Linked DNA regions of Rattus norvegicus. The protein of the gene in region 1 interacts with the protein of each later gene in a pairwise test. Links are inferred from orthologs where the notes say so. Each region holds a gene or a part of one and is shown in the gene's direction. Other genes may lie near its edges.

What was found.
Region 2: the proteins of Ushbp1 (region 1) and Necab2 interact in binary tests that used the Homo sapiens proteins (3 or more experiments, as listed by UniProt). The two-hybrid records come from large-scale screens. The link is inferred for Rattus norvegicus from reciprocal best matches to the Homo sapiens genes USHBP1 and NECAB2.

Annotation. Positions count from the first base shown.
Region 1 is NC_086034.1:18,099,068-18,103,321, reverse strand, and holds the start of Ushbp1 (harmonin-binding protein USHBP1), read left to right. Parts: upstream 1-1,454; 5' UTR 1,455-1,545; intron 1,546-1,790; 5' UTR 1,791-1,862; coding exon 1,863-1,916; intron 1,917-2,128; coding exon 2,129-2,250; intron 2,251-2,445; coding exon 2,446-2,881; intron 2,882-4,254.
Region 2 is NC_086037.1:64,426,999-64,430,498, forward strand, and holds part of Necab2 (N-terminal EF-hand calcium-binding protein 2), read left to right. Parts: coding exon 1-113; intron 114-2,567; coding exon 2,568-2,686; intron 2,687-2,814; coding exon 2,815-2,894; intron 2,895-3,500. UniProt on the Homo sapiens protein: May act as a signaling scaffold protein that senses intracellular calcium.

The DNA of each region.
Region 1 (4,254 bases):
GAATGCTCCCATAAGACACTGTGTCCAGGAACCACCCTCAGGTGAAGTAACAGCTTGTTCGTTTTCCTTTTTGTTTGTGACAGCTTCATGTGGCCCAGGCTGGACTCTAACTCTAGAGCTATATGGTTTATCCACTGTAGAAGCTTCCCAAAGCTCCTTTTCCCCTGAAGCGGCGCCGGTCAGGTTCCCGGGGAAACACAGGAAACCCAAATAGCCGACCAACCTTGCAAAGGATGCGCCTTTCTCGGGGTAGCGTCTCGGGACTTCAAGCTTCCCCCCCCCCCAAGTTCTCAAGCAGAACGAACCTGAAGCTGCAGCAAGCCGAGTCGAAGTTAGACCGCGGCGACACAAAGTTCGCGCGCGTTCACACCGCCGCAGGTTCCACTGCCTGGGTACCGGGGCCAGTCAATCAGGTCTCTAGGAAGCCGCCATCTTCCTTACCGGAAGTGCTACCTTCTGGGAAATGTAGTTCAGTGGCCTTCAGGACGTGGAAGCTGATAGGCTGAGGCGTTCTAGGGGTGTAGCTTGGAGTGTAACGGGCTGGAATGGGGCTGAAGAGGGAGGGGTAGTATTGAGAGTGGGTGTGACCCGTGGTGAACTGAAGCAAAACTGAGAGGAATTTGTAGTTCGGGCTTAATCACACTAAGGTTCTCAAGGCCTCTGCTGTGATAGGACAAGAGATTGAGCTGGGCGGGGCCGTTTGATGATTGACGGGGTAGGAATTGGCTTGGACTTGCCTAGGGCCCTCTCAGTTACTTATGTGACTTGGGCTGGTATTCATTCACTAGTTCCGCGATGCGAGCTGGTGGTGCACACCTGTCATCCCAACACTCCAGAGGCCCGAAGACGAAGATCGGGTGTTTAGACAGCCTGGACTATATGAGACGCTGTGTGAAAACCAAATGGAAAGAAAAAGTAAAGAAGCCACTGTGGACAAGCTCACTGTCGCCGGTGACTCCAACGGCCTGATGCAGTAGTTCAGTCTCGTTGAAGAGAAACCTTGTGGGCTACTGAACAGGTGCAGGCTCTTGCCGCCAATCCTGACGACCTGAGTTCGATCTCGGAGACAAGCAGTACCATCACAGACAAAGATAAATAATGAAAAATAAAAGCTATGCAAGTGCTGGAGCCAACTCTCTTAGTTTTGTTTTTAGAGACACAAAATAAAATTTTAAAAAGACCTTCACATTAGAGCGAGCCCTGATGAACAGGGGGACACAGAAAATCCAAAATAAAAATGGAGGCACTACATGTTTGGGCTGGGATAAGGGGATACTGATATCTTGGAGTGGGACAAAGGTCCTGGTCCTCCATCCTCTTCCTGTTCTGGAGGAAGCTGGCATCCTGGAGAAGGAAACAAAACAATAACTGTCCATGTGATCAGGGTAGGGAGCTTCCTGTTTCTCAGCCTCTCCCAGGCCACCTTTGGCCATTGCAGCCTCAGTAGCCAGTGGCCAGAATGGCCTGAGATATTCTTAGGAGTTCAGACCTTTCCCAAGGTGCCCTGGAGAAGAAGAGAAGAGGGCCGCAGGGCCAATCCCCAGGGTGAGGGAGTTTGGTACTAAGAGAGTCGTGGGAAGAAGGAGAAATCTTAGGATACCACTCAATGCCTCCATAGGGAAGAGAGGGGGCACAGATAAGAGAAATGAATTCAGACAGCGGAGGGAAAAGGAATGCCCGGTAGAGATGGGTGACGGGGAGGAGGAGACAAGTAAACAGTGGGCACTATTGGAGAGGTATTTAAATATTTAAATGTGTCAATCAGTTCAAACGAACCAAAACTCCTACAGGAAAAAACAAAAAACAAGGATACCAAGGTAACAAAAGGCAAGAACTGAGAGCAGGCTGTAGTGACAAGAGTAATGAGTGCCCGGGCCACACGACCCCGAAGCCGGCGAGGGAGGCATCCTCTGCCTGTAAGTGTGCCCCTCTTCCTGCCACACCCAGCCCATGGATCCTGGGAACCCAGGTCTGCTTGGCTCAGAACCTGTTGTGGTACAGGGGAGACCTCCACAGGGAGAGCTGGATGTGATGACCAAGAGCCCGTGTGTGTGTGTGTGTGTGTGTGTGTGTGTGTGTGTGTGTGTGTGTGTACGCACCCGCACATGCACGGGAGTGTCATTCACAGGGGGAGCTGGACCCAGTAGCTGAGAGCTCAGAGGAGGTAGATACCACCAATGGGAGCTTCGAGACTAAACCTGAGCTGCTTCAGGAACATCTTGGTCCTAGCCTGCAGGGCCCTGGGAACCGGTAGGATGCCGGGGCCCATACTCAACTGCCTCCAGCTGCTCACCTGCCATAGCTTCCCCTGCCCGCTTCTCTCCTCTTCCTTTTTACCCTCCAGCCATGAAGCTCAGTCCCTGCTCAGCCTTCCTAGGGACCCTGGGGTCAGCCCTCCGCCTCTGCTGAGTCTCAGGTGGCTAGGGTTCCTGATTATCCTCACAGGATCAAGGAGGATTGTGATGTGGGATCCCATGGGGTCCTACCCTTGAGCCCGGAAGAACGGCGCGAGCCTGAGGTGGAAGCCCACCAGGCCCTGCAAGAAGCCCCTCTGGATACTGGCCCTGCTGAGATAACAGCACCCAATGTGTATGAGACCTTGAAGTGCAGGCTGAGCTCCCTGGAGGCAGTTGTAGCTGCCTGGCGCCGCCACTCGCTAAGCTTTTCAAAGCCAGTGGAGGCAGAAGACAGAGACCCGGGAGCTCCGGGGTCTTTTGGTAATGAGGAAGAAGCCTCTGGACCTGGACAGCAGGAGGCAGCGCACTTCATAGAGAGGAACGCCTGGCTCCGGCTGGCCCTGGGCACCCGGGAGGAGGAACTGGCGCGGACTCAGGCTTCACTGCAGGACGCCCAGGCAGAGAATGAGACTCTGCAGAGACAGGTGAGCTGGTGACTGGGAAAGAGGCAGATCCTGCTTTGAGAGTAGACACTGACGTGGGTGGAGCAGTGGCAGATGTGCCAAGGAAGTGACCAATAAAGACAGCGCGGTGAGAGGGGGAGCAAGGGAGACCGGCAGTCTGCACCCCACGATCTTAACACGCAGGAAGCTCAAGAGGGACAATCTCTACTCTGGCGAGCCCTGGCTAAGACCAACGTTCTTCTCAGCTGTAGACTGAGTCCAAGGTTAGCCTGGGTTACAGACCCTGTCTGTGTCAGTTGCACCGCAGACAGACAGACAGACAGACAGACAGACAGACACAAATCTTATCTTGGGGGTGGTGTTTTTTTCCAATTCAAGGTTTCTCTGTGTAACAGAGCCCTGGCTGTCCTGAACTTACTTTGTAGACCAGAATGGCCTCGAAATCACAGAGATCCCCCTGCCTCTGCTTCCCTAGTGCTGGGATTAAAGGTGTGAGCTATGCCAGATTTGTTTTAAGGTTTCTATTGCTGTAATAAAACACCACAATCAAAAGCAATTGGGGAGGAAGAGATTTATTTCATCTTAAAATTCTCAGGCCTCACTCTGTCACTGAGGGAAGCTCAGGCAGGAACTTGAAGGCAGAGGTTATGGAGGTGTGCTGCTTACTGGCTTGCTCTCCATGCCTTGCTCAACCTGCTTTCTTATCTCAGCCTGCCCAGGGATGGCACTACACACAATGGGCTGGCCCCTCCCTCCCCATCAATCGTCAGTCAGGAAAATGTCCACAGGTCCAATTGGGGGAGCATTTTCTCAATTGTGGTCCCTCTTCCAGAATGACTCTAGCTGAAGTCAAGTTCACACGAACCAGCACAACTCCTGAGATCACTGTAGCTGGAACTGAGTGGGAGAGGTGAAGGCACGTGGGGGAAGGTCACAGTACGCAGGGTGCTGAAGGCTGGGCAGGATTTACAACTGTGTTCTTGTGTGTGGTGGGTTCTGAGGGGAACCCTGCTGCAGGTGTTCACTTGCGCCATCTGATGCCTGTGAGAGGAACAGTCTGGCGGTGGACCATAATCCTGAAGGTGGAGGAGGGGCGACAGCAGTGGCTCGGGGCGTTTAGTAGAGGTGACCAAAAAACCTACAGATTATGGGTGACGTTAAACCCAGATGTGATAGGACAAGCCTGTAATGATAAGGACTTCAAAGGCTGAGATGAGAAGATCATAATTTAGTACTAGCTTTGAAAAGATAGGCAATCGTCTCAAAACAGAACAGAGCCCTAGCTGGTTCTGCTAAGAATCCTCGTCAGCCTGTGGGCGTGGCTCAGGGTAGAGTGACAGCGTAGAATACTCCAATGAGGGGCTAGGGGCGTGGCTCAGCGCTTAGCTTTCAGA
Region 2 (3,500 bases), on another chromosome or scaffold:
GACCAGTTTGTGACCCGCTTCCTTCTGAAGGAGACGGCCAATCAGATCCAGTCGCTGCTCAGCTCTGTGGAAAGCGCCGTGGAAGCCATCGAAGAACAGACCAGCCAGATCCGGTGTGTGCGTGGGACCTGTTGGGGTACTCACAGCAGCCTGACTTGTTGTACCCCCTCAGATCTGGGTGCACAAGTTGCTGCACCTCTCCGTGTGTTTCCCCAATTTCTCTGACTGCAATCTGAGGACAAACTTAGGACCTAGCACCTGAGTCACGAGGCTTACGTGGGACAGGATGTGCTTAGGAGAACGTCCGGTATGGGATGTGAACTCCTGAGAGCTGCAGATCTTACCACAGTTCTTGTTCACGTAACAATGTCCTTCTGAACGCTGGGAACCAGTTTGGGGAGTGGGATCCGGCTGCAGGTTGGAAACACAAATGCCACCTTTCTGAGGGAAGCGTCTTCTTGTCAGGAACCCTGTGAGTCTCCAAGGGCTCCCTTGCTACCTGGAGAGACTGAGGGAGCTATTGAAGGCAGGGCAAACATACTGAAGGAGACTCTGGAGAGGTTTGGAGTGCACGGTGTTGCTCTTTTGGTCTCCAGGTATGCTGGCAAGCACCCAGAGGTTTCTCATGGCCACCGTGGGTGCAGTGTGCCCAGGCTGGGTCACTTCAGTCTTTCTAGCTGAGAGGGGTCTGCTCAGCTTTGAGCCCTCCCAACCCTCACTCCATGCTGCCTATAGCTAACTGAGCACACTCCTGCTCGGAGCAGTCAAGGAGAAACGGGACCCACACACAGCTGGGCAGTTGTCAGGAAGCCCAAAGTCATGGCCTTGGCTTTCTCTGGGTACAACCTCAGTGTACCTGGCAGAGTCGCAGTGCCACCAGGATGTTCTTTTTGCTGTGGGGTAGGGTTTGAACGAGTGAAGTTTGGTCAGTGAGGCCCTCCATCAGGCAGGATTGTGAGGGGCCTCTTTTTTTTTTTTTAAAGATTTATTCATTTATTATATATAAGCACACTGTAGCTGTCTTCAGACACACCAGAAGAGGGCGTTAGATCCCATTACAGATGGTTGTGAGCCACCATGTGGTTGCTGGGATTTGAACTCAGGGCCTCTGGAAGAGCAGTCGGGTGCTCTTAACCGCTGAGCCGTCTCTCCAGCCCGTGAGGGGCCTCTTAATGATGCCGTTGCCAAATGTTTGCCCTCAGCACCTGGAAAAAATGGTTCACGATTCTGCCTATGTGAGCAGCCTTACGATCCTGAGCCCCCAGTGTCACCAGCCACCGTCCGAGGAACAGATGACTTCCCCTTTATTGACTTGTTATTATCATCTTAATCAAGCTCACCCCTTTTCTCCTGCTGCGGATAGATAGCAGCCTTGGGCAATTTTCCTGGCTGCCTTCCTACGCTGCATGGCTACATCCGTGGTTCTACTCGCCTGTCCCCACTGGGAGGGGATAACCCTGGGGTGTCAGTGGAAGGAGTGGGTGGTGTGTCTTGATGGGAAATCTGTTCCACGCCCACAGACACCTCATGCTGGCCCACATATCAACACTTTTGGCTTCAGGCCCTGAGTTCCCCAGGGGAGGCTACCGTGTGTCCCCACCCCAGAGCAACTCCCAAGGGCGCTGCGTTCCAGGAAAAGCTTTTATGCAGACTCTGCTGCCTGAGCGGCCTCCCACTCGACCTTTCATGGTCCGAGGGACACTGCATTTGTTGCTGGTTTGTACAGATTTGGTGATTCACAGCTCAAAGCCTCCACTCGCCTTGTCTCGCTGAGGGAGCTGAGCCTGCTTCCTCGGCATGGGAGAAAGACTTGTTAAGCTTTCAGGGGTCAACAGGAGACAGATTTCAAAATGTGCTAAAGGGTTCAGAGGCGGAGTGTGGGGGTGTCACCCACACACCCTGTTGATTGGTAAGTCTTAGTTGGTTTTGCAAGGCTCCCTTTGTGCATAAGGAACTGGCTGTTCACCCTGCAGTTTTGGAGACCCTGCTGGGTGGCAGTCACCGTGCTAGGGGCACAGCATGCCTGTTGAGTCTTGTGCATGGATGTGTGGGTAAGAAAGATGAAGCTCAAGCCAGGCTCCGTTTTGTCTTGCTACCTTGTTTGGGGGTGGGGGTCTTACCGACACAAAACTAGGTCTTCCATCCATAGCACAGTGGCCTCTACTGAGATAGGAAGGGGGGAAGATACACGGTGTCTCCTCAGCCTGGGCTCAGCCTGTGGCTGGAAGCTATGAACTGTGAGGTCTGCCAGATAGATGCTCAGCTTTACCTCAGCTATGGAAATGAGCCTGAGGGGCACAGGGGCCTGGCCTCTAGAGTCTGGCACCGAGCTATGCCGCAGCTGACCATATGGCCTTGGTCAAGTCATCTGCCTCGTGGATGGTTTTTCCTCCTCTGAGAAAATGAAGGCCCCTCTGCCCATCCCGCCAACGTGGGGTTATAGGGTAGGTCCGGGCACATTTCAGGATACAGTCAATGCTTTGTAAGTGCCCAGTGAAGGCAGTAGAGGTGGCCTTGGTCACACGGGTGCCCTCATCAACATTCTGTTTCTCCTTCATGCACTGCAGACAGGACCACTGCAAACCTAGTCCTGGCGTCAACGAGAGCCGCTACGGAGGACCCACTCCTCCCTACATCCCCAACCACAAGCTTGTGGTCCCGGAACCAGTGAAGAGCCTGCCTGTGGGTAAGAGAGCATGGGTGGGCACTGCCCTCCAAAGGGATCCAAGTAATCTGCACCGGGGTCTAGTCTAGGGGCTGGGGCTCCGCCCCCTCAGGATGGCCCCGCCCACCTCCAGGGTCTCTCTTTCTCAGCCATAGGGGAGCCAAAGGAGGAGGGGCTGGAGGTCCAGATAAGCCGGTTGGCAGAGCTGATTGGGAGACTGGAGAGCAAGGTAGGCCTGCCCCACCCCGGTCTCACCTTTCTCCCAGCCCTATCCACTTTAGAGTTTGCTGGGAAGCTTAGACGCCCTGGTGGGTTGCTGGTTGTAAGGATCAGACTGGGATCATGGTCCTGGCGGTGGGAGGGCAGGCCGCAGAGAGTAACCCAGGCACAGATAACCGCGGGGGGCCTGTGCTACGGATGTTTCCAAGAACGCTGGCTCCAAGACCAGAGGTGAAAAGCAGGTGCCAGTGGGAGCCCAGGGACGGTGGTCCAGGGCAGATTCCAAACAGGAAACTGCTGACGACTTAATACAGCATGGGAGTGTGGAGCAGACCAGCATTTACAGAGACGTTTCTACTACGGACAGTGTGTGACCCACAATGCTCTCAAAGGGGCTTGTAGATAAGTAGGCTCAGAGGTTCCTCTGTTGGAGCTGGGTTTCTGCTGTTTGGCTTTGAGTTCGTAGCTTGCCCTCTCTGAACCTGAAAGTTCTGCTTTGGTGACCGGGGAGACAGATCAGTGTCCCTCGCCAAAGGCACTGGCAGCTCAAGTTAGAGCCTGCTGTCGCAGTTAGCGTCTAACATTAGCCCCGTTAGCACTGATAGTCACCCTTTAT